Saccharomyces cerevisiae S288C: one gene and its partners. The protein of the gene in region 3 purifies or fractionates together with the protein of the main gene of each other region. This does not show direct contact. Each region holds a gene or a part of one and is shown on either strand. Other genes may lie near its edges. The genes, in order: NOG1, YFR001W, TIF6 and SSF1.

Region 1 (9,349 bases), 220 kb from region 3:
GAGTCGCAGGGCATAGCAGTAATACACACCAGTAGTGCAGGAAAGAGTCATTGTTGCGTAACCAGTAAAATGTAGCAAGACTAATTAGGAGTACCGAGTAAGTAAACCCTAAAACCAAAAAGCCTTGGTCACGTGGTCTCATGCGCTTATAAATTCTCAATCATGTAATTGAAACAGTCCTGTTGCCTAGTTTCAACTGTTCTATGCTTCTTGATGTTTTCGAAACTTTGCGTAGTGTAATCTTCCTTGTATTGTAGCGAAGAAAAAAGGATGCGTTGGGAACAGATATAGAAGACGTAAAACAACCTGAAGAAGGTAACAGGTGGAGTAGCAATGGGAGAGGTATACGAAAAAAATAACATAGATTTTGATTCAATAGCCAAAATGTTGTTAATTAAGTATAAGGATTTCATACTGTCTAAATTCAAGAAAGCTGCACCTGTAGAGAATATAAGGTTTCAGAATTTAGTCCATACAAATCAATTCGCACAAGGAGTCCTAGGTCAGAGTCAACATCTCTGTACAGTCTATGACAATCCTTCATGGCATTCTATAGTCCTGGAGACATTGGATCTGGATCTAATATATAAAAATGTTGATAAGGAATTTGCCAAAGATGGGCATGCAGAGGGGGAAAATATATACACGGATTATCTAGTAAAGGAGCTGCTTCGCTACTTCAAACAAGATTTTTTCAAATGGTGCAATAAACCAGATTGTAATCATTGTGGCCAGAACACTTCAGAAAATATGACACCTCTGGGCAGTCAAGGGCCCAATGGAGAGGAATCTAAATTCAATTGCGGAACTGTTGAGATCTATAAATGCAACCGATGCGGAAATATCACTAGATTTCCTCGTTATAACGATCCAATTAAGTTGCTGGAAACTAGAAAGGGAAGATGCGGTGAATGGTGCAATTTATTTACTTTGATTTTGAAGTCGTTTGGGTTAGATGTTCGCTACGTCTGGAATAGAGAAGATCATGTTTGGTGTGAATATTTTTCAAATTTTTTGAATAGGTGGGTTCATGTCGACTCCTGTGAGCAATCATTCGACCAACCATATATCTATTCAATTAACTGGAACAAGAAAATGAGTTACTGTATTGCGTTCGGTAAAGATGGCGTTGTTGACGTTAGTAAACGCTATATCCTCCAAAACGAGCTGCCCAGAGATCAAATCAAGGAAGAAGATTTAAAATTCCTTTGTCAATTTATAACGAAGAGGTTGAGGTATTCGTTAAATGATGACGAGATATACCAACTTGCATGTCGCGATGAGCAGGAACAGATAGAGCTGATTAGAGGAAAGACACAAGAAACGAAATCCGAAAGCGTCAGTGCCGCTTCGAAATCATCTAATCGTGGTAGAGAAAGTGGATCGGCGGATTGGAAAGCACAGCGTGGGGAGGATGGTAAATAGAGAAATAAAAGAACAGATTATTATGTGTAAGGAATTTTATCTAAGAACATATTTATAAAACTAACTCATCAAAGCTGCCCAAGAACTCGGCAGCTTGCTTTGTTAACCAGGAATTACTTTCATTGTCGAGATAAGCCAAATGTCCACCCAAGTCAGTCTCGCATAACAACACACAAGGATTTTCTCTAGCTTGTTTGTACGGAATTACGTTTTCACCTGTAACTGGATCATCCGTTGCGTTGATTATTAAAGTTGGGATTTTGATATTAGGCAATCTATTTATCGAACTGGCCTTTCTATAATATGTTAACCCGTCCGGCAGGCCCATCGATGGGGCAGTGAAAAGATTATCGAATTCTAATATGTCTGTAAATTTTTCAGCCTTTTCCAAATTTTCTCTGGTATACGTATAAAAGACTGGTTTCTCAACTGTCGGTTTGTGCGAAACCTCAAAATTCTCTGGTACCTGCAACTCATTCATATTAACCTTGACAGTCCTTGTTAGAAATTGTGTTAAAGTTCTAGAAAAAATATGGTTGGACCACCAATCATGAGCCAACTTGTCCCAAGTGTGTACGAAATCCCATGGGTTTGAGAGAGCGACTGCAGCATTTAATGGACAGTTATCTCCTTCTTCACCTAAGTAGTTCGTTAGCATGGCTGCTCCAAATGATGTTCCGACTGCATATATTTTTCTTTGCGGAAATAGAGCTTTTTGGTGGTTCAAAAATTCTCTCACATCACCTGTGTGTAATGCGGTAAAGATTCTACGGGTGGTGACTTTAGATCTTGAGCAACCTCTAGCATTAAGGACTACCACTTGGAATTTACCGTCACCGACTTTTGATAGATCTTCAGATAATGCCCTGATGAGAGGCTCATGGCTTCCCCCTGCAAGACCATGAAGTACTACCACTAAAGGGTAAGAATAACCCTTAGAATGACATTTTTCAAGTTCCTCAGAGGATAGATATCTAGTTCTCGGGTGAAGACGAGGCCAACCCTTTGGATGGGTGGCCTTTTCATCGTTCGAAAATTGTTTCTCGTTAAAACTAGCCTTTTCAGCATTTAATGAATATGTTTGCTCCCATTCAGGCATAACCCAATCTGCAGTGCAGACCCCTCCATCAGAAAATTTTATAATCTCTCTTCCATAAAATACCTGAAATTTTTTGGAAAAATCACCGGCTGACAAATAAAGGGTCTGTAAGTAACCTGTGAAAAGCAAGCTGTTTAACCTAAAATTTGCACCATCTTTGAGTGTAGGCACGTGTTTGGTTACGAATTCATGAAGAGGAATTTGGCGCTTAGAATCTCTGAAAGCCAAAGACTTGGTTCCTTTCTCTCCCAGTACATGTTTGACGGTGCCGTTATAGCCCCAATGGCTAGGAGTGACAGTTGGATAGTAACCCGAGCGAAACATTAAAATGACAAATATGAAAATACTTGATATCTTGATCTTTTTGCTAATCTTCAAAAATACCGAAAACTAAGTAGGCAACCAGATGCAGAACCCTTCTTATATAATCGATTCCTGTAAGCAAGTGTCAGCAAATAGCTTCTATATAGAGACCTTTCGGTGAAAGTATATTAAAGCCGGCCGGAAATTGAGTAATAATAACCGCTAATTATGCGGTGTGTGGATTCAGATTTTTGCCAGGAGCGATAACCTTCAAATCTAAAACTACTCACTATAAGCGATGAAGCAACCAGATGGTAGCGCTTTGGTGCCGGTTCTCTTGAAGGTTTGTACATGTGCGAGTTCATGAGGTTACAATATAGAAGGTTTATACAGTAGAGCTATACAGGATAATGGAAGTTCAGTTTTGTTCGGCTTTTTCATTGATGGCTTTCTTCTTATTGCTTTCTCTCTTGGCTTGTTTCTTCTTCATTCTTTTCAGTTTCTTTTTGTAACTATAAGTATCCTTCTCACCAAAACCGTAAAGTGGCTTAAAACTCTCTAGTACACCGCAATCTTCGAACAGGTTGGGAAAGATCCAGAACCCACCAACATCTTTGTAGACAATTAATGACAAAACATATAATATCAATCTCAGGATAGCGACAGCAAAGAAGCCTGCTAAGATGCCGAAGGCACCCAGAGACACATAATAGGAGCCGCGTCTCATGGAGCGCGGCCACAATGGGTAGCATACGAGCGCCAATATGATGGACACGACACCAATGACGATCAAGTAATCCATGTAGGTTCTAGGGTTATAGTTCCAAACAAAGTATTCATCGGCTTCCAATTGTGCTTTATTCGAAACAATCAAGTGCGGAAAGTCCTTGCTTGGCTTCAATCCATGCTCTTTGCATTCTTGACTATGCAATTTTTTCACTGGGATCACCATTTGTGCCTTTATAAGTTGAATAAAGATTTCACGTGACTTAAGCTGGTCTTCGATCTTGTTAGAAGGTATAGTTGGATATATCTCTGGCTGTCTTGCAGATTTGTTGGCATACTCCTCAGAATGCAGTGCCCTAACAAATCTCTTGTAACGGAAGAAGTCTGTCTGCTTGGCCTGGAATAAACCCTGCCTTTGCTTCAACTCCTTATGGTTGCGTAAAAGAGTAGCAATGGCTGTAGCAGATCCGCCATTGACACTAGCACCTGCATTGCTACCTGGACCTACGGCTGACATGTTCTCCTGTGTTTGCTCGGCTACCATACTGCATTCAACTGCAATTATAAAAGCCCACTCTTCTCCCTCTTGATTTGTATGCCAGTATTGGGAAAACGACACGTCTATTCCGTCGCACACGATCTTCACTTTCTTTTTTTTTTTCAACTGAACGAAAAGTTTTTTCCGCAGCTCATCGCAAAGAAAAATTTTCACCTATGTACTACCTCATCTAATACAATATAAAGAATACACTTCAGATTTAGGAGTTGCAGCGTTTATAAAAAAGTAAGTGTACCCTCCAAAAGCAAACACATCTCCCTCCTATACCGAAGATGCAACTTTCATGGAAGGATATCCCTACTGTCGCTCCAGCAAATGATTTGCTGGATATTGTCTTGAACAGAACCCAGAGAAAGACACCAACTGTGATCAGACCTGGTTTCAAGATTACAAGAATCAGAGCGTTCTATATGCGTAAAGTTAAATACACAGGTGAAGGTTTCGTGGAAAAATTTGAGGACATTTTAAAGGGTTTTCCTAACATCAATGACGTGCATCCTTTCCATAGAGATTTGATGGACACCCTATACGAAAAGAATCATTACAAGATATCTTTGGCAGCTATATCTCGTGCGAAGTCCCTTGTGGAACAAGTCGCCAGAGATTATGTCAGATTGCTAAAATTCGGTCAATCTTTATTTCAATGTAAACAATTGAAAAGGGCCGCTTTAGGTAGAATGGCAACTATAGTCAAGAAATTGAGGGACCCATTGGCCTATTTGGAACAAGTCAGACAGCACATTGGTAGATTACCATCGATCGACCCAAATACCAGAACCTTGCTGATCTGTGGTTATCCAAATGTCGGTAAGTCCTCGTTTTTGAGATGCATTACCAAATCAGACGTCGATGTTCAACCATATGCTTTCACAACCAAGAGTTTATACGTTGGTCATTTTGACTACAAATACTTGAGATTTCAAGCTATTGACACCCCTGGTATCCTAGATAGACCCACTGAAGAAATGAACAACATTGAAATGCAATCGATTTATGCCATTGCCCATTTACGTTCTTGTGTTTTGTACTTCATGGATCTTTCCGAACAATGTGGTTTCACCATCGAAGCTCAAGTTAAACTATTCCACTCCATCAAGCCTCTATTCGCCAACAAGTCTGTCATGGTTGTTATCAACAAAACCGACATTATCAGACCGGAGGATTTAGACGAAGAGCGTGCACAATTACTGGAATCTGTTAAGGAGGTTCCAGGTGTTGAAATCATGACTTCTTCATGCCAACTGGAAGAAAACGTTATGGAAGTTAGAAACAAAGCATGTGAAAAACTATTGGCTTCTAGAATTGAGAATAAGTTGAAATCTCAGTCTAGAATCAACAATGTTCTGAACAAGATTCATGTTGCTCAACCTCAAGCAAGAGATGATGTCAAGAGAACACCATTTATCCCAGAATCTGTCAAGAATTTGAAGAAATACGACCCTGAAGATCCAAACAGGAGAAAGTTGGCCAGAGACATCGAAGCTGAAAATGGTGGTGCTGGTGTCTTCAATGTTAACTTGAAGGACAAGTACCTATTAGAAGATGATGAGTGGAAGAATGACATCATGCCAGAAATCTTGGATGGTAAGAATGTTTATGATTTCTTGGACCCTGAAATCGCTGCTAAACTGCAGGCTCTTGAAGAAGAAGAAGAAAAATTGGAGAACGAAGGGTTCTACAATTCTGACGATGAGGAAGAAATCTACGACGGTTTCGAAGCATCCGAAGTAGATGATATCAAGGAGAAAGCTGCATGGATTAGAAATAGACAAAAGACGATGATTGCTGAAGCAAGAAATAGGAAGTCCTTGAAGAACAAAGCTATCATGCCACGTTCTAAACTAACTAAGTCCTTTGGTAAAATGGAAGAACACATGTCCACTTTGGGCCATGACATGTCAGCCTTACAAGATAAACAGAACCGTGCTGCTCGTAAGAACCGTTATGTTGAAAGAGGTTCTGATGTTGTTTTTGGCGACCAAGATGCTTTGACAGCTTCCACTGAAAACGGTGTCAAGTTGAGACAAACCGATAGACTGTTGGATGGTGTTGCTGATGGCTCCATGAGATCCAAGGCCGACAGGATGGCCAAGATGGAAAGAAGAGAAAGAAATAGACATGCCAAGCAAGGTGAATCTGATAGACACAATGCTGTTTCCTTATCAAAGCATTTATTCAGTGGTAAGCGTGGTGTCGGTAAGACAGATTTCCGTTGATTTCTCTACTTCTTATTCTTTCTTTTGCATGTACTTTAAAAAAAATATGAATATAAAATGTGGATGTACGTACACGACATTCTAATCTTTTTGGGCTGGTAGGATTACCATTTACATTTGATTATCTCTCTCACTATTAGTGGTTTCTTTTTCTTTCTTTCTCACTTTTTCTGTATCTTTTTTTTAAAAAAATTTTATTTAATCTGTATAATAATAATAAACCGATTTAAATTATCCAACAAGCCGACCCCTCCATGTTCTACTATTTTTTTGTATGTCACTGGATGTATACAAATAATTAAGCATGTGGAAAAAGAAGGGGTGGGATAGCGTCAAGATGACACTTCTACTTTTTTGTGACACATCATCATGCAACCTATCGAGTCTCCCACGAGGTTGACAAATAAGAAATTGTTATCGTTTTTGCAGTGTATCGTATAAGGCAACAATAGCGATGTCTCCCATCAATTGACTGATAAATTCCTGCAAACTATCATTTTTTTTTTTTCATCCTTGTGCCGCGTCTGTAGCCGAAAATCTGAGAGTGCATGAATCTTAAAAAACAGAAGACTCATCGCCGTCTTTGGCACATTGGGGTTGTCTTTGACTTCTTTTGCTTATTTTTGCTCACTTTGCTTATTTTACCTATTTAACTAGAGGTTCTAAAAGAATAGCCAACCAGCGTGTAGTTCTTATTTCTAATCCTTGTCTTGTTAAGTTGAAACTTGTGATATTGGCTGAACAAATTCTCCGCATTTAGACAACACACAAATTACAGCTTTCCCCTAGTAACGATTGTTGATTGAGCTCAGACAATACGCGCAATTTAAAAACGTTTTATAGTGTAAGAGAAGACAAGTACAAGAAAAAAATGGTTGCCAATTGGGTACTTGCTCTTACGAGGCAGTTTGACCCCTTCATGTTTATGATGGTCATGGGTGTCGGCATTTCATCGAATATTCTATATAGCTTCCCATATCCTGCAAGGTGGCTAAGAATATGCTCCTACATCATGTTTGCTATCGCTTGCCTTATTTTCATTGCTGTGCAGGCACTACAAATATTACATTTGATTGTCTATATTAAGGAGAAAAGCTTCAGAGAATATTTTAATGACTTTTTCAGAAATATGAAGCACAATTTATTTTGGGGTACTTATCCCATGGGGTTAGTTACAATTATAAATTTCTTAGGAGCACTCTCGAAAGCGAACACGACGAAGAGCCCCACTAATGCCAGAAATTTGATGATATTTGTTTACGTCTTGTGGTGGTATGATCTCGCAGTCTGTCTAGTAATAGCGTGGGGTATCTCGTTTCTCATCTGGCATGACTATTACCCTTTGGAAGGGATTGGGAATTATCCTTCATATAATATCAAAATGGCATCCGAAAACATGAAAAGTGTATTGCTACTGGATATCATTCCGCTGGTTGTCGTCGCTTCAAGTTGTGGAACATTCACAATGTCAGAAATATTCTTCCATGCGTTTAATAGAAACATTCAACTGATAACGTTGGTCATATGTGCCTTAACGTGGCTGCATGCCATTATCTTCGTCTTCATACTGATTGCGATATACTTCTGGAGTCTTTATATTAATAAGATACCACCAATGACACAGGTTTTCACCTTATTCCTGCTTTTGGGCCCGATGGGCCAAGGAAGTTTTGGAGTCTTATTGCTTACAGATAATATAAAAAAATATGCGGGCAAATATTACCCAACAGATAACATTACAAGAGAACAAGAGATATTGACTATTGCAGTTCCATGGTGTTTCAAAATTCTAGGCATGGTTTCTGCTATGGCATTGCTCGCTATGGGCTATTTTTTCACCGTGATTTCTGTCGTTTCAATCCTGTCGTACTACAATAAAAAAGAGATTGAAAACGAGACAGGAAAAGTGAAGAGAGTTTATACCTTCCACAAAGGTTTTTGGGGGATGACTTTCCCGATGGGTACTATGTCTTTAGGAAACGAAGAGTTATATGTGCAGTATAACCAGTACGTTCCCTTATATGCATTTAGAGTCCTAGGAACCATATACGGCGGTGTTTGCGTTTGTTGGTCAATTCTATGCCTTTTATGCACATTGCATGAGTATTCTAAAAAGATGCTGCATGCTGCCCGTAAATCTTCATTATTTTCAGAGTCAGGTACGGAAAAGACGACAGTTTCTCCGTATAACAGCATTGAAAGCGTGGAAGAATCAAACTCGGCTCTAGATTTTACGCGTTTAGCATAAAATTGTTGGTTTTATACGTACATAATTGGCAAGCATTTCATGTAGGAGTCTCAATAGATAGTTTAATTCATTTGCACGGCGCTTTGCTGCTTTTGCTTCTTCACGTTGGTTTTCACTATGCCTGATATTTTTTGACGTCACTTAGTAAGCACGACCCTTGTCAATTTTTCGAGGATTTCGGAGCTTTCCATTTGGAATCTACTATTAAAATCAGTCTAAAAAAGTATAAGAAACACTTCTGGTTTTTCTCATGCGCTTCTCACTCTCAGTATATTTTGCTGCTTTCCTTCATATGTATATATATCTATTTACATATTAGTTTACAGAACTTTATGCTTTCTGCAACCAAACAAACATTTAGAAGTCTACAGATAAGAACTATGTCCACGAACACCAAGCATTACGATTACCTCGTCATCGGGGGTGGCTCAGGGGGTGTTGCTTCCGCAAGAAGAGCTGCATCTTATGGTGCGAAGACATTACTAGTTGAAGCTAAGGCTCTTGGTGGTACCTGTGTTAACGTGGGTTGTGTTCCGAAGAAAGTCATGTGGTATGCTTCTGACCTCGCTACTAGAGTATCCCATGCAAATGAATATGGATTATATCAGAATCTTCCATTAGATAAAGAGCATTTGACTTTTAATTGGCCAGAATTTAAGCAGAAAAGGGATGCTTATGTCCATAGGTTGAACGGTATATACCAGAAGAATTTAGAAAAAGAAAAAGTGGATGTTGTATTTGGATGGGCTAGATTCAATAAGGACGGTAATGTT
Region 2 (7,831 bases), on a different chromosome or scaffold from region 3:
TGGGCTTTAGTATAGTCCTTGCTAGCTTTGTTCTTGCTTCTCAATTGAAAAACACGTCTTCTCAATTCATTAATGCTTACTTGAATTGAACCTAATTCAGAGGATGCTGATGGTAGATTGTCGGACGATTCCAAGAGTTCATTCAACTTTTTGTTGGCGCCTTTTGAGGTGCCAGAATGCAGCTTATTTCCGCGCAACGTCTCCAGCATATCGTTTACTTCTTTGTGACTTTTCTTCACAAGTGTTGTTAAGTTTTGAATTTTGATGAATTAATGCATTTGAAATCTTCTAGGAAGACGTGAGTGAGTTTTCAAAATTTGAAAAAAATTCGGATATTTATTATTACCCGGTCTTCGATAAAGAAGAGAAGTGATGAACAGAGTAGCATCAGCCATGACGATATTGACCGTTCTATAAAGCACAATCTTTACAAAGACTTTGCCTTCAGGATGTTATATATTATACAACAGACTTATCCGTATTTAGTTTAGTCAATCAAACTATTGAGCAAATGAGACTTTTTTTACCTTCCTTCCTTCAGTTTTACTTTCACTAGCTTTTGCTTCACTTTTCAACATATCACGTTTATTCTTTCTACGTATAGTCCTTGCGACAGAAGACTTCTTTTTAATCTCGTCTTTTTTTTCTTCTAGTTTATCTTGTTTAAGCGCTTCCTTTCTTTCAATTTCCTTTCTTTTCAATTCTCGTATCTCTTCTAATCTTCTAGCCTTTTCAAGCTTACTCTCAGCTATATCGTCGTACTTGTCACCAATAGTTGTTATTAAACGGTTTAAAGTCAGAGTGTCGTTATCAGCAATGAATTTCTTACCTTTCTTTCCCCTCCTTATTTTAACACCCGGAACGATAGCTCTATTGAGTGTTGGAATATTCAAGTCTTTCTCAGAATATTTCCCCTTCTTGTCCTTCTTCGCACCATAAAGTCTAGCCAAAGACTGTTCTTTTTTAACCTTGGTTTTAGAAGGCTTACGCTGGGCAGATTTTTCGGTAAGATGAGGAACATTCGCTAGTTGATTCCTAGCTTGTGAATCTTGAAACACCTCTGGTGCGACTTCTCTTCTCAGATTTTGTCTCTTAGAAGGTTTCTTTGGTGCCATCTTTCCTTAATTGTATAGATTTACAGATATCTAACCTTATAATTTTACCTCAATTAGATCTCTAATTTATGGTTTGCATTCGATCTTCTTTTTCAGTTTAAAAAAAACTTCACCTCATCGCCGTTACTTCAAAATTAAAAAATAACTAAAAAAAACTAAAAAAAAAAAGTGGAGTACAAAAATAAGGTCAAAATACATAGTTAAAATTTTGCTTCTTGATAATGAGATGAGGTAATTACAAGAGTTCTGCTTTCCTTCCCAAACAGTTTATTTTATAGTTGGTCTCTATATCAAGTGTTGAGTAAGTAATCGAATGGAAATTACGTACTTTCAACGCAAGAGCAAGACAAAAGAAAGCCTAAAACTGTCTTTTCGTGTCGGTCGTCCAATATCATCGTAAACGTGTGTAGAGCCTTAAATTCTAATTTCTAACTTTAAATTTTTTTTGCTATTATAATACTAATTTCTAACTTTCAACCTATTTTACATCTTCGGAAAACAAAAACTATTTTTTCTTTAATTTCTTTTTTTACTTTCTATTTTTAATTTATATATTTATATTAAAAAATTTAAATTATAATTATTTTTATAGCACGTGATGAAAAGAAATATAGTCTTCAAGGTTATATTATACAGGTTTATATATTATTTTACTTATTTTTGTTGTTCTTTTTCTTGGAGTATTTAGCATTAACAACTTCGACAGGTTCCATAACGCTTCTATCCTCTAGTTTCACATAGGTACCGACTACTTTACCTCTTCCATCGCCCAAATTAATAATTGTCTTTGAGAAGTTGTTTGTATTTGCTGTGGGCAAAACATCTTTAAAAATATTGCATACTGCGGCCTTAAGTTCGTAGTGTAACGTCAATGCTTCAGTAGCTGTCGTGAATTTTATTGCCTTATAGTCATCTACAGTAGGTTCTTGCCAATCCATTTCAGGAAATTTACAATCATATAACAATAATGGTATATCATTTGCCATTTCGTAAACAGGCCTTTGAGGGGTTTTCTCAATATCAGTCAGACGCAAGACAATTTCCGGCACTTCAAGTGATTGACCAACTAAGAAAAGAATGGCCATCATGCAACGAACTTGGTGCCATAGGAATGCTGAACCAACGAGATCAAAACAATAGAAAGTTTCAGAAAGGGGAAGAATTTTTGAGCTTATTATTGTTCGTTTAAAATTGGTAATTTGTTTTGAGCCATCAAGCTTACAAAAATTCCTGAAGTCTCTCTCTCCAACAAAATATGATGCGGCTTTAGACATTTTTTCAATATTAAGGTTTTTTCCATTAAAGATGTACTTATAGTGCCGGTGAACACAGCTGAATCTTGCGTCAAAGTTAGGTGGCGGTCTGAGGCAGACAGCTGATATACGAATATCGTCGGGTAGTAATTGATTTAAAACGTGAACATAGGGTATTTCCCTGCTGTCGTTGGTCGGATCCCGCTGTTCCTCATCTGTTAAATTGGAACGGACTTCTAACGATATAACTTGGTTCATGGCGCTAACTCCCTTGTCTGTTCTGCCACATCTGCTAAATTTATAGTCTTGTAAAACCATCGAGGGAACAAGTTTACACTTATTCATGGCCTCCAAAATGGTACCCTCTACTGTAGGCAACGGTGTGTATTCCTTCTGAACAGCTAAGCCATTGTAATTCCATCCCAAATAGGCAAATCTCAAGGCGATGAACCTGGTATTATGTTTAGAAAAGTCAAACTTCTTCGGAGCCTTTTTCGCCTTGCTTCTCGTAACCTCTTCTTGCGAAATTTTGCGCTTTTTGTTATCCTCGATGTGCTGGAATTTTTCAGAATGTGGCTTATTTGCGTTTTCTAGTTCAGTGATCCTTCGTATTAGCTGCTCTTTGGACCAGTTTGCGTAAATGGAGTCCTTCTTACTAACAATAGCATTGGTACCTGTTGAAATCGCTTTCATTTTCCCAACTAGCCTTCTAATGAAATTACTCATTCAAGGGAGGTTATAGTAGGGCAGTAAAGATTGCATGTGGGCACCTCGAGAATACTATATTATTCTTTATTTTGAGCCGGCTTTTCGCTTTCAAAAATTTTTCACTGAAAAACAAAGTGAGCTTTTCAAGATGAGCTGAGCCCATTGATTTGAGGTGTAGTAAGATAATATTAAAAGCTCAGCAGCAATAAAAACAATGTCAAAGTCATTGGAATGGGATAATCTCGGGTTTTCTTTACTTCCCTGGATAAGGACAGGACTCGATGTTATGGGTTTTGAGACCATGACTCCAGTCCAAGCATCGACAATTCCCATGCTTGCTGGCAACAAGGATGTAGTAGTTGATTCTGTAACAGGCTCAGGTAAGACCGCTGCGTTTGTTATACCTGTACTAGAAAAAGTTGTAAAGGAAGAAGCGAATACATCAAAATTCAAGAAAGCACACTTCCACTCGTTAATTATTGCTCCAACAAGAGAATTGTCACGCCAAATTGAGTCTGTCGTTCTATCATTTCTGGAACATTATCCTTCCGACTTGTTCCCTATTAAATGTCAGCTCCTGGTTGGTACTAATGAAGCCACAGTTAGAGATGATGTAAGTAATTTTCTGCGGAATAGACCGCAGATTCTGATTGGAACACCTGGTAGAGTTTTGGACTTTTTACAAATGCCAGCAGTAAAGACGTCAGCATGCAGTATGGTAGTTATGGATGAAGCAGACAGATTGTTGGATATGAGTTTTATTAAGGATACCGAAAAAATTCTGAGGCTATTGCCTAAACAAAGAAGGACGGGTCTATTTTCTGCAACTATGCGTAGCGCCGGATCAGATATCTTTAAGACAGGGCTTAGAAATCCTGTCAGGATTACCGTTAACTCTAAGAACCAGGCGCCCTCCTCTTTGAAATTAAATTACTGTGTCGTAAATCCTGCCGAAAAACTACAACTTTTGGTTAGCATTTTGAATAACTACAAATTCAAGAAATGTATTGTATATTTTCCAACATGTGTGTCAGTCTCCTACTTCTACTCATTTATCCAGTATTTGGGAAAGAGGAATATTCTCGTGAATGAAGTAGAAATATTTTCCTTGCATGGAAAACTTCAAACATCGGCAAGGACAAAAACTCTAACAGCTTTTACTGATTCGCTAAGTAATTCTGTTTTATTCACAACAGATGTGGCTGCTAGAGGTATTGACATACCCGACGTTGATCTCGTCATCCAGCTTGATCCCCCTACCAATACTGATATGTTCATGCATAGATGTGGTAGAACTGGTAGAGCAAATAGAGTGGGTAAAGCAATTACGTTTCTTAATGAAGGCAGAGAAGAGGATTTTATTCCTTTCATGCAAGTTAAAAATGTGGAACTTGAAGAACTTGATTTGGAAGTAAAGGGCATAACAACAAACTTTTACGAGGACTTTAGAAATTGGATACTAGAAGATAGGGATAGATTTGATAAAGGTGTTAAAGCATATGTTGCCTTTATTAAATACTACTCAAATCATTCCGCAACTTCAATTTTTAGGCTTCAATCTTTAGATTATGTTGGTATTGCGAAATTGTATGGTCTTTTCCGCCTGCCTAGAATGCCTGAGATAACAAAGTACTTAGCCACCGAAAAACAAGAAGGGATTTTCCCAGGGAATTGGTTGGTCGATCCCCCAGTTAATATGGATGAATATAAATACAAGGACAAAAAACGTGAAAAGGAGAGACAAGAAACATTAAAAAATATAAGCCTGATTAATGATAAAAAGAAGCTGAAAAGTGAGTTGAAGAAGAAGAATTTAGCGTGGTCAGATAAAACATTGACGAAAGAACGGAAACTCGAGAGAAAGGAAAAGATGAGTTTAAAAAGGAAGGCTATAGAGGAAGAATTGAAAGCAGAAGAGCTCGATGAAAATGCTGAAGAAGAGCGTATTAAAGAGGATTGGAAAGAAATCGTTTTACAGAATAAACGGAAGAAAGTTTCCAGCAAAGCTATCCAAGGCAATTTTGACGACTTATAATTATGGAAAAAAAGTTACCTTGTTCGTAGAATCACTCAACATTCTTAACCAATGGATGATCTTGTAGCATCATAGTGAGTAAGTAGATTATTTGTGTATGCATACTTAATTTAAAATATTCTAAAACCATTATACTCCATCTTAAAGCATAATATATATCTCTTGTTCAGCATGTACTTGTAACAGGAAAAGGATATTATGTTCAGAAATAATCAAACAGCCTCAATACTGACATCAGGCAGTCGACAGGAATAACTTCAAAATAAGTTCCGATCACAACGTTATTGTAATGGAACCAATGATCGCTCATTGATTAGTATTCATATTAACACTATATTAAAATTGAGTGTGAGTAGATGGCACAAAGACTGAGAAATAATCATCAAATTTAATGGAAGCCGAAATGCAAGACTTGATAATGTAATGGAATAAAGAGTGGCGACAATAATATGAAAAAGAAAATATTAATAACATTATATAGAAATATGGGCTTCCTTTTTTAGGTTATTACATCCTTGGGAAGAATTTTTAATATACTTTGATTCCCTTTAATAACAATGGAATGCCAACAATTATCCTAACATTGACCCGTTGGTAATTAGAGGTTAAGAAGTAGTGTTAATGAAGATTAAATATGGATCTTCTTATACTATATAAGAGAAGTATAAAACACACGCTGATTTGTGTATTATTACTTATGATCAATGTAATAGTAGTTCTGGAACTTGTCATACATTTAGTTTGACTAGTCATATTACGCGTATATATAACGACCAGATCATGTCAAACCTACGGTTCTTCAATACAGATTCATTACTTTCTTTAACAGGTATATTCATACTTAAACATATATGCGGTATGTATTCATGCACGATGCAAGCATTCAAAATGTTACTATGGCAATTGATGACCACTTGTTCCAAATAGTAACCGTACATTCATTAGTGAGTATAATTCTACCATAAGTATAAATGGTAACATATAAATATTCCGAGATCATCACGGGATTTGTCACGCAGCGGATTTATTTCAAATATTAAGAGAATTTGAGATCTGAATTTAACTTTAAATTTATACTTTTTCTCCTATTTCTACGTAGCTAATCTCACTTTGTAGTTTCCTTGAATATTGCTTTGGACTATACGTCTTTGTTTGTTTCAGATATAGTCTCTGAGATATTGGTGAATTTTGAGATAATTGTTGGGATTCCATTGTTGATTAAGGCTATAATAATATGTATACTGTAGAGAATGTGGATTTTGATGTAATTGTTGGGATTCCATTTTTGATAAGGCAATAATATTAGGTATGTAGATATACTAGAAGTTCTCCTCGAGGATTTAGGAATCCATAAAAGGGAATCTGCAATTCTACACAATTCTATAAATATTATTATCATCATTTTATATGTTAATATTCATTGATCCTATTACATTATCAATCCTTGCGTTTCAGCTTCCACTAATTTAGATGACTATTTCTCATCATTTGCGTCATCTTCTAACACCGTATATGATAATATACTAGTAACGTAAATACTAGTTAGTAGATGATAGTTGATTTTTATTCCAACATACCACCCATAATGTAATAGATCTAATGAATCCATTTGTTAGTTAATAGTTTAAATGTTTTTATCGGAAGAGGTTTTGTCATCACATCAGCAATGTTCTTCTTGGTCTCGATGTAGTATACGTATAAATTATTACCTGATACTTCATCTCTAAGTCTCATTGCCTTTGTGCCAAAAAATCTGTTTCTAAATTTCTCTTCATTTGTAGACTTAATTATACTGATCGTTGATCTACTATCAGTAAGTAAGCCTTTAATAATTGGTTTCTTGTTAAGTTCTTGCACAAGGTGACTGAGGTTATTCAATAGCGGAATAGCTTCACTGACTGCGTGTATTTCTGCTTCTGTAGTTGAAGTGCATGTTAACGAAGCCTTTGTCGACTTTCCTCCAATCACTTTTCCGTTGAGTAGGAAAATGTTACCAATTTGTGACTTGTAATATGGTTGGTTACCATATGAAGCATCGCTTATTGCGACTAGTTTATTATCTGGCTTGGTAGGTTTGTTTTTGTGCCATATTAATTGTTTATCTCTAGTGTCCCACATGAATTGTATTAACTCATATGTCATGTCTAAAACTTGCCTAGAGGGGAATAGTATATGTTGAGCAAGTGTGTTGATGTAGTATAGTAAGTCAAATCTAAATTTATATCCAACATATGAAGCTAGACCAATCAACTTTTGCATTTCATGTACTTTCTCTTTGTATTCATCTTCATCTATTTCTAGTTCATCCTGGTCTATATAATGACCTGGTTGACCTGGAGCTCTAAGTTTCTTTCCTTTTGGGTTCAAAGGTACGTTTAGTTTGGGTAATTTTTCTGTCAAGGATTTTTCCATACCTAATTTCATGTACTTGCTTCTTTGATATTTGATCTCTAATCCAAGTATGTCGTACTGAATTTCGTTATCACTTTCACCCAGATTTATTATCTTTGTATCGTATTGTTTCTTGAGTGTTGTTATGATTTTCTTATTTGCATTTAAGTCTTTGCTGAATAATATCATATCATCAACGAATAAGCAAATTGTTACTTGACTATTCTTAAATACGCATGACCATCCGCGAACTTCTTGCATGTCGCAACAATTTATTAAATATGATTTAATGGTTTCATACCAGTTTGCACCACTTTGTTTCAAACCAT
Region 3 (8,093 bases):
TGGCTTCTTCCTTTCTACGCTTTTCCTCTTCCTTTTGCTTTTTCAGCTCAGCACGCCTTTGTCTTTCCTCTTCTACCTTTAGCTCTTTTTTCTTTTTCTCTTCTTGTCGTAATAACTCTTTTCTGTGTTTCTCTTCTGCACGTTGCTGCTTTTTTAGTTCCTTTTCTCTTTTAGCTTCTTCCTTTTTCGATGAGGAAAGTTCTCTCTTAGAGCATGGAGAAGAGCTTCTGCTTTTTGTCTCGATAGCTATTATATTTCCATTGGGTACTTGTTTGTTGGTGTTTCTATCGTATTTTGTACTTTGTATGGGTGAATTTTTGTAGCATAAAAGCTTGTCTTCAGCATTGGCCTTCTTAGGTGTCGTTTTCATTTCATCTGCACACTCTTTATTGATGCTTTTCATGGTTTCTTGTTTAACAGTTTCTATCATAGGTCCACTGACATCCTCTTTAGGATCATCTAGAGTGATGACATCCTTCTCTTTCGTGAGAAACTTATTACTCTTTACCGTAGTTGTATTCTGGAAAAAAGATAGTATGCCTTTTTTCTTAGTGTCGTCCTGTAGAGGAATTGATTTGAGATGTTGCTCCATTTTCCCTTTTCCTTTCGATTCTCTTCTGTCTTGAGGTTCACTAAAACATATAATTCTCTGTAACAGCAATAACAGAATGTTCTTCTCCTCAACGAATTGGCTGGAAAAATGATGTATTTCAAGAAGTGGAACCAATAAGAATTTTATTTTTTAGTCAGTTCGCAAACCTTTTGGTTTAACGATGTAGATCTTTCTTTTTTTCAGTTGAAGCCTTTCACGCGTCCGAACGCGTGAGCATATATGCAAGCCGTCTGACACTATAGATCGCGCCAGGTAGGGAACCACTTGATCCAGCACGATGAGCCCGACAACTCAAAACTCCCTTCTTCTGTATCAAAATACTTTTCAGCATATCCATATCATTCTTCCTTTCTCTTCGTAAAGGCTGACTGGGCGCCGGGGACCCGCTAGTTTAGTAGTACTGTGAATATCGTCATTGTCGTACTGAACGATTATATATCGATCATTTTAATTAATGAAGTACATATCAAAAACTTGACTGGTATGAGTAGAAAGTTCAATTAAAAGGGCTGGAAAAATGGGGGAATAACAGAGAACATGAGCAAGGCTACGTGTTCCTTTGAGGGCTGTCATAGTGCAGTTATTACCATCAACGATGATAACATAATAAACTTACCAGAGCAGGTGCACAGCGAATTCAAGTTGCTGGAAAACAGAACTATGCGAGATGCTACCCCCAGCGAGAGCAACTTCTTGGTCGTCCCTGATGTTTGGGACTTTGATAATGTTGGTGTATCTAGAGAAATTCCTTCTTCTATATTAGGGGATTTGAGTGATAAGAGTGATTTTGTCTTTGAGTATGGTAATTCCAGCTGGAAGATTAAAAAGTGCTTGAAATATTTGATATGCGCTGATTGTGATAAAGGTCCTATTGGAATAATATGTAAGGTGCAAGATCAGACAAAGAATGAAGAAAGAGTTTTGCATCTACTAAGCTTGCGAAGCCTTCAAATTATGGGAAGGAATTAGTTTGGTAGGCACTAGAACAAAAATAGGTTGCCGCCACCAGAAAAAAAAAAGAGTAACCAACCACCTATTTCACTGGCATGGGCCACCTATAACAAGCTATAGAAGTAGTTCTGGTTTACATTACTAGCATCACTTTATGTAATAATATAGGCATTCTGGACGAAATCCTAATGGATGAGCATTACCCGTTTTTTCCGAGGGCCAAACGAAAATTTTCGGAAAATTTTTATTAATTAAAGATTTAAACCCATATTCCTTTGTGCAGATTTTTTCTTTTACTGTATGTAACGCAATATTCAATATTGCATAATTAAAAGAAGCCTCATCCCTCGTTGGTCTTATAGTATAATTACAAGAAGCAATACGACAGAGTATTTGGAACAAGAGCATAATTCAACTAACTCTAGAAAACAATAATGGCTACCAGGACTCAATTTGAAAACTCCAATGAAATCGGTGTATTCTCCAAATTAACGAATACTTACTGTTTGGTTGCTGTTGGTGGTTCTGAAAACTTTTACTCTGCATTTGAAGCTGAATTAGGAGATGCTATTCCCATCGTTCATACCACTATTGCTGGTACGCGTATCATCGGTAGAATGACCGCGGGTAACCGTAGAGGTCTGCTAGTTCCAACCCAAACTACTGATCAAGAATTACAACATTTAAGAAATAGTTTGCCGGATTCCGTTAAGATTCAAAGGGTAGAGGAAAGACTATCTGCCTTGGGTAACGTCATCTGTTGTAATGATTACGTTGCTTTAGTGCATCCAGATATCGACAGAGAAACTGAAGAATTGATAAGTGATGTACTAGGCGTTGAGGTCTTCCGTCAAACCATATCAGGTAATATCTTAGTTGGGTCATATTGTTCTTTAAGTAATCAAGGTGGGTTAGTGCATCCACAAACAAGTGTCCAAGATCAAGAAGAATTGTCCTCCTTATTACAAGTTCCTTTGGTGGCTGGTACCGTTAACCGTGGTAGTTCAGTTGTCGGTGCCGGTATGGTTGTGAACGATTACTTGGCAGTTACAGGTCTGGATACTACAGCCCCAGAATTGAGTGTTATTGAAAGTATTTTCCGCTTGCAAGATGCCCAACCAGAATCCATTTCAGGTAACCTACGTGATACTTTGATTGAAACCTACTCATAGATGTCAGGTACTCCTGAGGGGATTCCCCTCCTTCCTCAAGTCTGTTTACAGTTGTATGCGAAAGAGTCCCCATGTTGCAATAATCTTCTTACGTATCATTTGTGGTATTTTTTTTGGTATAACAAATATTTTTTCTTAGGTTTCTATGCATTTTAATTTTAGTTGTATGTATATTATGTACTCTTTTATTTTTTTTTTTTTTCTTATACCTATGGGTGACTATTCATTGCAGTTTAAGTAGGCGTCTTAATTGTAACATGTAGTCACTTTGTTCGAAGCATATGTAACGGGTTTCTAAGCAAATTCTTTGCATAATATGGATTTTCCGTCCGCTTCTCCGACTATTCTGACAACTTGCTCAGTTCCAAGTATCTGTTAGACAATATAGAACTTCTCCAAGAAAAATTGCACCGCACGTAGACCATTTGAAGGCTTTTTTGTCTAGCTGCTAGGACATACTATTGTCTCCACCAGAACCCGGAGAGTAGTATCTCTTGGCAAAGATTAATAAAATCGAACAAAGCTAATAGAACACCGGGGGTTGTGCGGTAAGATTTTCACAAGCGGTACAGAAGTGAGCCGTAAAATTATATATATATATATATATATATGGTGTACAACAAGTCAGCCGTCCATTTATGTGCTATCAAGCGAACTACGTTTCATCTCTTCAACTTGGTAGTTCTTGAGATATAAACACCCTGATCCATCGTACTCACTGAAATAGCAACAACTCCCTGAGTTCCATTGCCACGCATACCCACTCTCATATCCAGAAACAGCTAGTATTTCGATGTTTTTCCGCTCGAAGAAACTTCCGTAGTATTGTTGAGGTGTTGGGGGCATCGTTCCTTTTCGTACGCCAAAAATTCTTCCTCTATTGTTTCCAGAAAATCGTTGCAAAAAAATAAGTCCGCCACGCTGTTTTCTGTGACAACTCTATCTGGAGCCTTCACTAATGGTTTAAAAGGCACGATTTCCACAGAAAGTTTCGCAGCACTTGTTTGTACAAGGAGCGTAAAGCACCGGAAATCTTTTCCCACTGAAACCCTAAATATGAACGGCATTTGGTTGCCATGAGATACAGTCCCAAGAATTCTTTATATTATATAAGCGCTAGTTGTTGTCGCTCTTTTGACCTCATTGGTAGATATTTCAAATTACAAAATTATAATTGTTTTCTTGGTCCAACTTTTTTCTTCTTTTTGGAGGGCATTGCAAGGATCCAATACGATAAGCAAACGTCTTCATTGACCCGTTTCTAACTTTTAATATACATAAATTTTCATCTTCAACACTAATTAAATGTGGAGAACAAAAACGCTAGAATCTATGCTTTGTAGCCCAATGAAATGTTCATCGTCTAACATAGGGGGATCCTATGCGCAATCTTCAAAGGAAGTCTCGAACACGACCAAAAGGGAAGTGCATCTTCCACCTTGTTCGTCGATTATGCACGCTCCACTTACTCCTGAAATAAACCAGGCCGCACTACCACCTCCCGCTTACCATTACGCACCTTCTTCTCTGCATCAGACAGAGGATCCCGTATGGAGATCAAGTCCCAACTCTATTATCTTTTCGCCGGTTATAGCAACACCGCAACCTTTCCCTTTAACGTTCGTTGAACGTCAATCTTGTTGCCCTATTTATTCAACGGCAGCTTCCTCTTATACTGCCCAATCTGTACCTCCATCAATGCAGCATTTTCAGGAGGAAAACCACAGAGCGGTGAGCAACGAGCAGTACTCCCTCCCGAATGTGCATATAGGGCAAAATCCTGGGACGCTATTATCCCAAACACAAACCGACTTAGATCTTATACAAAAGCAACTGCGCGCTGTGGTAAAGCTACGGAAACAATGTCCTATCTGTGGGAAGGTTTGTTCGAGACCTTCAACACTGAGGACTCATTACTTAATACATACGGGAGACACACCTTTCAAATGTACTTGGGAGCATTGCAACAAATCTTTCAATGTCAAGAGTAACATGTTAAGGCATTTAAGAACCCATCAAAAGAAAATAGCAAAGAAAAAACATCAGTGAAAGCATTGTTTAGAATATTTTGTTTTCAGTGTGATTTTGATGTAGGTGTGACACTTTTTACCAAGTAAAATGAGTATAGATATGTATTAGTTCCATATAATATATTACATGTAGCCAACAATCAATTTTTACTGACTTCCGATTTTTGAATAGTGAGAGGATTTTTGTTCGAATTATAATTTCTACAAGAAATTTGTTTGCGAATGCATCAGCATTTGTAATACGGTTCTATACTGCCGCACGATACATTTTATTCTGTCTAGTTCGTAAGACAAAGGACCTTTTCATTTAGTACAACGTTGCCGACACGGATGTCTTGATGAATCTCTGTACCAGGAATTCAATTACCTGACTAGTATGCAGTTCACTATCAAAAAAAAAAAAAAGGTTAAATTGGTATAATCATGGTTAAAGAACAAACAGCCTCTTTCCTCTACAAAAGTATGTTAAATGTAGGTAGTTCAAATTGCGGTCACGTATATGCCAACGTTGTTAATATATAATGATCCATTGGAACAATGAAGTTTACAGAAGCTCAAAATTAATGCAAGAATAATTACGTCAAGGGAGTCATAACAAACTAAGAAAACAAAGGAATTTGACTAAGTTTGAGCGCAATGATATATCCATGCTTGATATTCTGATTCATACATATCGTTTCTGTCATTTCAATGGAAGTCTTTATTTATCAATTACCACAACCTTTAGTATTGTGCTTATTATTGGTCAAAAGGAGTTCATGCGCTAGTGATAGTCAACCCATGAAGTGATTAGTGGAACATAGAAGGGGATAAATTTCCTATCGGATAACAAAGAAAAACCAGGATTATTGTTTTACCACCACATTTTCAAACTTTCCCGCTGAATTTCCTACTACCCTCATTTGAAAGAACGCTTTCCACTCTTTAGGTTGGCGTTGTATCATCTTTTCTTCCATTCAATGCACCAAGACTTAATTTTGTTGGTTAAACTCTTATTCTTTGTCAGTTTAACCAACAAAATTACCTACGGTAATTAGTGAAAGGCCAAAATCTAATGTTACAATATGATTCAATCATTCTTATTGCGGAGAAGCTACCGAGAAGAACCCTACCACTGGTACAACACAAGGGAACGGTCTCATTGACCTCGTGCATAACCGGGAAGGTAACACATGAATATGCTGTGTTTGAATCATCTCCAATCCAAACTATAGGAATGAAAAATTTTTTTTGGGTACAATGTCTTCTCACAATATCGTATTCTTGGTCAGCAATGTTTCCAAGGATGACAGACTCTTTCTAAGAAAAGATTTCAAGTTCAAAATTTACATAACAGTGAACTATGCAGAAAATTTTACTTCTAGACCACGCATTTAACAATAATGTTTGCCCGCAACAATAAAGTATTTGGTCGCTTTAAGACGTTATCAGTTATTTTATGAGAAGGTGTTTACCATTCGTGCTCCCATACTAAAACCAAGGGGTAAATAGGACCCACATTTCGTTTCTGACAGCCAACAACGTGCCACTAGCAGGACAGTTATTGGAGGTTTATATTATGTAATTATTGTTAGCTGATAAATGATTTACAGAAAGCGCTGATGTTCACTGGGCTGCTTATTCAGCAATCCCCACGCATATTTACTTCAAAGAGAAAGAATTTTTGATGTAAGTTTTATTTGAACGTGGAACTTTGGCGTGGGGCATTTATGGCTGCTATCACACAAATCGCGGAGCAGAGTACCCCTGGATTATATAACACAACTCACTAAAATCGCTCAAAATTGGGGGGTACGGGTTAGCGCGGCAGCTCATCGAGGGAACAGCACCTAGTGCACGTTTAATTGATAGTATCTTCAGAACGAAATCAAATTTTTCGCAGTATCATTTACGTTTCAAGAAACTTAAAGTGTTTGGAGAAATTAGGAACGAAAAAAAGCTACTATAGAAATTGTAGCCTGTCTTCAACTGCTGTCCTCGGCTTTTGACTTGCCTAAGTATATGCCGCAATGGGCGATAAGCGGGAGTGTCGGTCAGATCTGTGGTAAAAAAAAGATAGCAATAAAAAATTATGAATTTAAACAGTAGTCTTGAATTTAAACAAGTGATCTTGACTTGAATACTTCCATCAATGAGTCGCTAAAATGAAAATGGCTGCACAATCTCCTCCGCATATCTTAAAAGGCAGCAATTAGCCAGTTGATCACCCTACATTTCCACAGAAACGAAAAAGTGTAATAGTTATTTTTGCGGCCAATATCGTAAGCTCTAGCGGTGCCTTAGCTTTATGATTGTTGCAAGAAAGTTTGCCTTTTTGACTCTCCTTCAGGTGTCAGTATTAACAAACGGCGTTGAATGTTTAAGTTATTATTTTATTCATCAAATCGACTTGGATACTTTCTCGGTGATGTCGCTAATTGGATTATACCATTAAGGTTGTCACCAGTGTAAAAATTTTGCATCGGTACTTGCAACTACGTGTGAAGGTCAAGTTACTCAACGCAAAGAAACGTTAACATTTTTACAAATTTTAGCTGCAGTACTATGTTTTAAGTAATCCAAAGGGAACTATTTGTTATATCCCAGAATTATTTACATTCGTTTCTTAGTTTCATAAACAATGAATACCTATTGAATGGATAGAAATTCTGACTTGATTTTACGAGTTATTATTGCTGACATTAGTCCAAAGACATCTCAGTTTTGTTTCCTCTACAACCCAATGAGGAGGCTAGCCAGGGCTGTCGCCCAAAAAAATAGCCAATAAAGCGGCAACTTTCTGTATGTCTTGCATTTTTTCCGCTGACTTGGGAGTAGAGTACAGCTGCGCGGAGTCGCGTATTACAAATCTTGTACTTTGCATTCTGTGCATACGTGAGGAAAAAGCAGCACCTGTTGTGAAAAAAGATAAATTTCTTTTTTTCATTTTTCTATCCTCAAAGGAAAATCTTTTCTGCGAAATTTCTAGCCGCTCTTCAGTTTCCGAAGTAAAGTCGCTGAGGGCGAAAAACAACTTTATTTGCCCACACGCTGTTATAGGCTTCCAGGGAGCAAAAGCGCAATTGGGAATAAGGTTTCCTCAATTGAATGGTTTGCTTCGCCTACAGCATTAACCAGAAGGTAATTTGATCTCTTGTATGTCCGCTAACAGATCTTGTCCATTAATTGTTTATTTTCTTCAGGTAGGCTGAGCCCACTTTGTAGTAGCTCCCTACCATTACTTTTGGCCTTGTAGTTATTGGCTTTGATTTTTTCTTTCTATGACAATCCCGTTGAGCAACCTTGCGAAGGGCTCTTTTTGAAAAAAAGGCGTGGGCAAGATCTCTG
Region 4 (7,220 bases), on a different chromosome or scaffold from region 3:
TGGTTTGTTCAAATATCCTCAGTGAATCTTTTTTTTTCTTTTTCTTCCTCAGTATGGATTGAGCGATGAGGTGAAAAAAAAAAAAAAATTAAGAAAACTAAAACAAAAGTAGAAGAAAAATATCCTTCCTTAAGTACTGCTTGCATTCTAAATCTTTGCGTAGTCACACAAGCGTAAACAGATATGTCCGAAGTTATCACAATTACCAAGCGGAACGGTGCCTTCCAAAATTCATCTAACCTGTCCTATAACAACACAGGGATATCAGATGATGAAAATGATGAAGAAGATATCTACATGCACGATGTTAACTCAGCTTCTAAAAGTGAGTCTGATTCTCAAATTGTGACGCCAGGTGAGCTGGTCACTGATGACCCTATCTGGATGAGAGGTCACGGTACGTATTTTCTTGATAATATGACGTATTCCTCTGTTGCTGGTACTGTATCCCGTGTCAATAGGCTGCTATCGGTAATTCCATTGAAAGGTCGTTATGCCCCAGAAACTGGTGATCACGTCGTAGGGAGAATTGCTGAAGTGGGTAACAAGAGATGGAAAGTAGACATTGGCGGTAAGCAACATGCAGTACTTATGTTGGGCTCTGTGAATTTACCGGGTGGTATTCTAAGAAGAAAATCTGAAAGTGATGAACTACAAATGAGAAGCTTCCTTAAGGAAGGTGACCTCCTGAATGCAGAAGTTCAATCATTATTTCAAGATGGTAGTGCCTCTTTACATACAAGGTCTCTAAAGTACGGGAAGTTAAGAAACGGGATGTTTTGCCAAGTCCCGAGTTCATTAATAGTGAGAGCCAAGAACCATACTCATAATTTGCCCGGCAACATAACCGTAGTTCTCGGAGTCAATGGTTACATATGGTTAAGGAAAACATCTCAGATGGACTTAGCGAGGGATACGCCGTCTGCAAATAACAGTTCCTCAATTAAATCAACTGGACCCACTGGTGCGGTATCATTAAATCCCTCCATAACAAGACTGGAAGAAGAGTCTTCATGGCAAATATATTCGGATGAAAACGATCCTTCCATATCGAACAACATACGACAAGCAATTTGCCGGTATGCGAACGTGATCAAAGCGTTAGCGTTCTGTGAAATAGGCATTACTCAACAACGTATAGTAAGTGCTTACGAAGCTAGTATGGTTTATTCAAACGTAGGTGAACTGATTGAGAAAAATGTAATGGAATCCATAGGCAGTGACATTCTTACCGCCGAAAAAATGAGAGGTAACGGCAACTAATAGGAATACAAAAGCCGCTGTTTACACATTTATAAACTACACAGCAGACTCCAACGCAATTTATGTGTATAAACTTACATAATGTCATGGCTATGTACACACGATTAGTACGTATAGAAATGCAATTGACTCATCTTTATTGCAGACATTACATCATATTTTGTTGATATTATAGTAATATGTTCATTTTTTTATTTATCTCTATATTAAAACAAAACTTTTGCACTAAAAAAAGAAATAGTACAGATTCATTTTTTTTTTTTTCATCTCAAAATTCTCTCATCAATTCTTAACTTTTTTGATTGGTTTACCACTGGCAAAGGTAGCAGCAACAATCAATGGAAGAACAGTGGTGACATCAGCAAAAAGTTTGACGGATTTGGCTTCAGCCTTGATCTTACCCCAAGACACAGCTTCGTCAGGTCTTGCACCTGCATCAGAACCATCGTATTCTTGACCAGTGTTAATGTAAACGGCATAATCAGCACCATTTCTCATCAAACAAGCATTGGCAATGTGGTGCTTGATCAAACCACCACCCAAGATGATCATACCGGCTCTGTAAGCGGCCATGGACATTGAATTGATTTTGCGGATATCTCCTACAATGTCAACTCTTAGTTGTTTTGGAGATGCTTTAAAAGTATGGAAAAACAACATGTCACCGATTGAACCATCAGTCAAAGATGGACAAAAGATTGGAATTTTATTCTTGTGGGCCCAGTACAATACGGAGGATTCGTCGTTGATTTCCTTACCAAAACGATCTATCATCTTAGATGGGGTCCAGATTGGTGAATCCACGTCTTGGTTAGCCTCTAAACAGTCAGCGCCATGTTTCTTTACGTATTCATCTTGTTCTTCCAACATCTTATCCAAAATTGGGACAATCCATTCTTCAAACTTACAGTAGTTATCATTTGGAACAAGCAAGTTACCAATACGATTCATACCTTGGTCACGCAAAGATTTACCTTTCAAAGCAAATTCACCCAAGTAAGTTGGAGCAAGACATTTGATCAAATCTTCTTCCACACCACCAGCAGAAGTAACGACAGCATCAACCATTTTGTGTTGCACCAAATAACGTAAAGTTTCACGTACACCGGAACTGATCAAGTTAGAAGTATAACCCATGAAGATAGTAGTCTTTTGGTACCCTTCCTCATCGAAGCAACCTTTCTTTTCATGGTCATCCAATTCGTCAATATGCTTACCTCTCCATGATCTCATACTATCAATAATCTCACAGGCAGTACCAACAGAACTAGCTTGGAAACCCATGGTCTTCATAGCTTCAATTAAATCAGTTGCTCTCATATTAGTGGCTTCAGGCTTTGAGTAATCAATACCTTGAACCTTAACGAAGTCATCTGGAATAGGAACAGATGCTTTCAAGACAGCGTCTTGTAGTAACTCTGGGAGTTTTTCGTTGATATCGGACATCTTTTTTGCTTTGACTTGTATATAAGTTAACTAAGCAAAACACGACTTTACTCTGCAGTTAGATACAAAACTGATAGAGGGAAGTACTTTGCGTCAAAATGGAAATATACATTACATTTAATTTTTCACTTTACTTTTTATTTTTTTTTCCCACCTTTTTTTCAGTTCTTCCCGTAATGCGTTTACCGTCAACCTGGTGATGGCGAGATATTATGGTAATCTCGTTCGTGACCTTCCACTGTTCAGCAGCTACTAGTATTATTTCAAGAGACAAGAAACACACAGGTAGTGATTATCTGCAGAGAGACAATTACTGGTAGTCAACAGAAAACATCAGCTTTCATGTAGACTAAGTTGGCTTTCTGGAGGTCCCTAATTTGAAATGTGTACATTCCGCTCGAAGAGCTTAAAGACTGACATATGCTCAAAGTAGTGTTTGGATATATATAATTCAAATTGCGGTATCGCAACTGTCTGATTGGTTGTTCGAGAAAAGGTTGGATGCATTTCTGTAGTAATTGGACCGAGAAGGGTCCTTGCATGATAATATCGTCGTAGCCTTCAACATAGCGACTGTACTCTTTGTCCCAATGAATTCGGTGCGGATTCAAAGACATCTGACCATAAGCTACAATATCCATATCAGTAACAGTAAAATTTTTTAAGATCTTATAGTTCTCCTCTCCTACGGGCATCTTGACTGCAGTCTTGTTTGCGGGTGAATTGGTGTACATTAATACCCTTCTCTCGAATAAGCAAATGTCCATTGGACTCGACACATTTTCGGGCCTTTCTTGTAAAAGGGTTCTTTCAATACAGACAACATGTTCATCTCGTATTTTTTTTACGTATTTGATTGATTCGTGGCATGTATACTCCTGGTCTAAGGTGACTGGTAAATACTGAACAAGCTCTCCTTGTCCCCAAATCCTTCTACGGTAGCGTAAATCAGGGTTTCCTAGCAAACTTGCAGGATTTTGATAGTTAAAATAACCATCTCTATCCAATTTTTCGAATGATGGTGGGAAGAACAGGAAATGTTCTCCCAGTTGAAGATGCTTCGTTGCCTTTGATACAGGGAGTCTCCTACAAAGTAAACTATCAAACGCTTTGGTTCGGTGACTAGATAAGACATCCCTGAAAATCCACGTTTTGGATTTCATGCTGATAAGCTGTCTTTAGATAAGTGGACGATTGCCCACCTTCAATGTACCAGCCACGCTCATGTATCGAAACAGTAGCTTAAAATGGCGTAAAAAAGGTAAGATCGAATTTTTTTTCACATGCCTTCTGAGATCTACGTTTCCTTTGGGCTATGATTTAAAAGACAAAGAGTTTATATGTATCAAGTATGCAATTTATCTAAAGTGAAGAAGTATACGTGCGTTGGTGGATAGCCAGGCTTAACTAAAATTTTCTTGGTACCGGAGAACAATTTATTCGACCTCACTAAATAAGTCACTATCTAGATCCTCTGGTACGCTACCATAATGTTCGCTGTCACTTGATGAAGACTCATCATCGCTCATCGCATCATCTTTTCCTTGACCTTCACCTCCTTCTGCTGCTCTAGCTTTTCTTCTTTCCAATTTACGTTGCTTTTTAGCGTCTTTAACAGCCTTCTTTTTAGCAATGTTTTCTTCTTGTTCCTTCTTTCTTTGTTCCTTCAGCCTCATTTTTGCAGCGTGTCTCTTTTCTAAAGCTTTGATTTCTTCGCTTGATTTTTGAACAAATTCATGATGTAACACTTTACCTGAACAAATACCTTCTTCTATCTTGACCAGTTTTAAAGTTAATCTTGGTCCTAATTCAGTTAGTTTGATAGCTTTCTTACGTGGGGTTGGTTGCAAGTTTTCTGAAGGCTTAGGTTCCTCCATTTCCACATCTTCTTCTTCTGTTTCTTTTTCACGCTCTTTATTATCCTTCTTTTCGACCGGTGTTCTTTGGGACTTCAAACTTTGAGAATGCTTTGCCTTCACGTCCTGATTATCAACTACTCTCACGATAGCGTCATCTTCAATTTCAGATTCTGATGTATAGGCGCCTAAGTCGTGATCTAATATCAAAGAAGAAATATCTTCTTTTCGATGCAAATTCGGCACTGTTTTACTTAGATTATTTTTGGCTTTATAAAGCCTTTTTAGGTTTCTAGAGATCTCTACTTCTCGAATGTCAATAAAATAGTGGCGCATAGAAATTTCCCCTGTTTCCCTGTCTTTATTGATCATAAATACACGTTTGATAGAATTCAAAGAAGTTCTCGCAGGATTCAGAGGTGGGAAAATATTCTGAAACATAGAAACAATGACCTTCTCCACGTTTACATCCTGGTCGTCTTCACCAGATCTTTTGGATGTGGAAAACCCGTTTAGCACTAGCAATGGAGGATTTAATACATCATCATTATTCAACGATTTAGGTCTCTTCAAAAATTTTTTGATATCTCTACCCAGAGAATAGTCCAATACTTGAAAAGTAACAGTAGGACCTTGCGGAGTTCTAGCTATCTTTAGGGAGACATTTCCTGTTTTTTCAGATTGAGTGAACATAAAAAGATGCGTAACACCTAATGGGCCACACATAACAACGAAATCCTTCAGTTTATTGGACTTGCGCTCTTTCAATTTTATAGCCGTATGTGGTTGCATGATTTGGCGGAAGTCCTTTACTAATTGGTTCAGAGAATGGTTGGCCAAAGAAGTTTGACCCACTCTGATTACCATTGACTTAGGTATACCTTGTTCCTGCTCAGGTGTAAGCTGTGCATGTGTTCTTTTCTTTTGTCTTCTCTTGGCCATCTTGAAATTTTATTGTCTGCTATATCTGGATTATACTCTTTTATTATTAAACATACTACTCACTCAAACCCAGATATCGAACTAATATCGCGATGAGATGAGCTTCTTCGTCTACTTTTTTTTTTTTTTTTTTTTCAGTGAAAAATTTCAATTTCGTCTAAGGCGATAAAAATGAAAAATTTAAAATTAATCAATGAGCATTTAGCAATTGTACATGGTATACACAGAATTGTGACATATCTTAGAAGCAATATATACCAAGATTCTGTTAAGTACTTCACTGAATCAGCTATAAAAATGTCCAAAATTGTTAAGAGAAAGGAAAAGAAGGCTAACGATGAATTAACTTCTTTAGCAGAAAAGATTAGAGCAAAAGCTTTGGAAAATCAAAAGAAGCTTATAGAAGCAGAAAAGGAAGGTGGTTCAGAGTCCGATTCTGAAGAAGATGCTACTGCTGAAAAGAAAAAGGTTTTGAAATCAAAAAGCAAATCCACAGTATCAACCCAAAATGAAAATACTAATGAAGATGAATCTTTTGAATCCTTTAGCGAACTGAATCTGGTCCCCGAATTAATTCAAGCTTGTAAGAACTTAAATTATTCCAAACCCACTCCCATTCAATCTAAGGCAATTCCTCCCGCGTTAGAAGGTCACGATATAATTGGACTTGCGCAAACAGGTTCTGGTAAAACTGCTGCATTTGCTATTCCCATTTTGAATCGGTTATGGCATGATCAGGAACCATACTATGCGTGCATTCTAGCTCCAACAAGAGAATTAGCACAACAGATCAAAGAAACATTTGACTCATTAGGATCCTTAATGGGCGTGAGATCGACATGTATTGTGGGTGGTATGAATATGATGGACCAGGCCAGAGACCTGATGAGAAAGCCACATATTATCATTGCTACACCTGGTAGATTAATGGACCATTTAGAGAATACCAAAGGGTTTTCACTGAGGAAACTGAAATTCTTGGTTATGGATGAAGCTGATAGATTATTAGACATGGAATTTGGACCTGTTCTTGATAGAATTTTAAAGATCATCCCAACCCAAGAAAGAACCACTTATCTTTTTTCCGCTACTATGACTTCCAAAATTGATAAATTACAAAGAGCAAGTTTGACAAATCCTGTGAAATGTGCCGTGTCAAACAAATACCAAACCGTAGATACATTAGTGCAAACACTGATGGTCGTTCCAGGTGGTCTTAAGAACACATACCTAATTTATTTATTAAATGAATTTATTGGAAAGACGATGATCATTTTTACAAGAACCAAGGCCAACGCGGAAAGGTTGTCAGGATTATGTAATTTGCTCGAGTTTAGTGCCACTGCGCTACATGGTGATTTGAATCAAAACCAGAGAATGGGATCTTTGGATCTTTTCAAGGCAGGTAAGAGGTCTATTCTCGTGGCTACAGATGTCGCTGCGAGAGGGTTGGATATTCCATCAGTGGACATAGTTGTAAACTACGATATTCCTGTGGATTCCAAGTCCTACATTCATCGTGTGGGAAGAACCGCAAGAGCTGGTAGATCAGGAAAATCTATCTCACTAGTATCACAATACGATCTGGAATTGATCTTAAGAATTGAAGAAGTTTTAGGTAAAAAACTACCGAAGGAAAGTGTGGACAAGAACATTATATTGACCCTAAGAGATTCCGTCGATAAGGCTAATGGGGAAGTTGTAATGGAAATG

What was found.
Region 1: the proteins of TIF6 (region 3) and NOG1 purify together in Saccharomyces cerevisiae (affinity purification with mass spectrometry; 7 studies listed by BioGRID, with this or other methods). This does not show direct contact.
Region 2: the proteins of TIF6 (region 3) and YFR001W purify together in Saccharomyces cerevisiae (affinity purification with mass spectrometry; 6 studies listed by BioGRID, with this or other methods). This does not show direct contact.
Region 4: the proteins of TIF6 (region 3) and SSF1 purify together in Saccharomyces cerevisiae (affinity purification with western blotting; 10 studies listed by BioGRID, with this or other methods). This does not show direct contact.

Annotation. Positions count from the first base shown.
Region 1 is NC_001148.4:366,594-375,942, forward strand, and holds NOG1 (putative GTPase NOG1), read left to right. Parts: upstream 1-4,384; coding exon 4,385-6,328; downstream 6,329-9,349. Other genes in the region: ERI1 (Eri1p), read right to left, coding at 1-142; PNG1 (peptide-N4-(N-acetyl-beta-glucosaminyl)asparagine amidase), read left to right, coding at 334-1,425; EEB1 (medium-chain fatty acid ethyl ester synthase/esterase), read right to left, coding at 1,478-2,848; Sec63 complex subunit SEC62, read right to left, coding at 3,246-4,070; SSU1 (Ssu1p), read left to right, coding at 7,200-8,576; glutathione-disulfide reductase GLR1, read left to right, coding at 8,909-9,349. UniProt on the Saccharomyces cerevisiae protein: Involved in the biogenesis of the 60S ribosomal subunit.
Region 2 is NC_001138.5:142,394-150,224, reverse strand, and holds YFR001W (Loc1p), read right to left. Parts: upstream 1,116-7,831; coding exon 501-1,115; downstream 1-500. Other genes in the region: linker nucleoporin NIC96, read right to left, coding at 1-209; pseudouridine synthase DEG1, read right to left, coding at 1,766-3,094; ATP-dependent RNA helicase SPB4, read left to right, coding at 3,291-5,111. UniProt on the Saccharomyces cerevisiae protein: Required for efficient assembly and nuclear export of the 60S ribosomal subunit. Involved in asymmetric localization of ASH1 mRNA.
Region 3 is NC_001148.4:586,975-595,067, reverse strand, and holds TIF6 (translation initiation factor 6), read left to right. Parts: upstream 1-1,998; coding exon 1,999-2,736; downstream 2,737-8,093. Other genes in the region: RLF2 (Rlf2p), read right to left, coding at 1-592; guanine nucleotide exchange factor DSS4, read left to right, coding at 1,151-1,582; YPR015C (uncharacterized protein), read left to right, coding at 4,042-4,785; YPR014C (uncharacterized protein), read left to right, coding at 7,550-7,879. UniProt on the Saccharomyces cerevisiae protein: Binds to the 60S ribosomal subunit and prevents its association with the 40S ribosomal subunit to form the 80S initiation complex in the cytoplasm. Is also involved in ribosome biogenesis.
Region 4 is NC_001140.6:227,622-234,841, reverse strand, and holds SSF1 (rRNA-binding ribosome biosynthesis protein), read right to left. Parts: upstream 5,508-7,220; coding exon 4,146-5,507; downstream 1-4,145. Other genes in the region: exosome non-catalytic core subunit RRP4, read left to right, coding at 184-1,263; DYS1 (deoxyhypusine synthase), read right to left, coding at 1,546-2,709; hydroxyacyl-thioester dehydratase HTD2, read right to left, coding at 3,030-3,872; RNA-dependent ATPase RRP3, read left to right, coding at 5,805-7,220. UniProt on the Saccharomyces cerevisiae protein: Required for biogenesis of the 60S ribosomal subunit.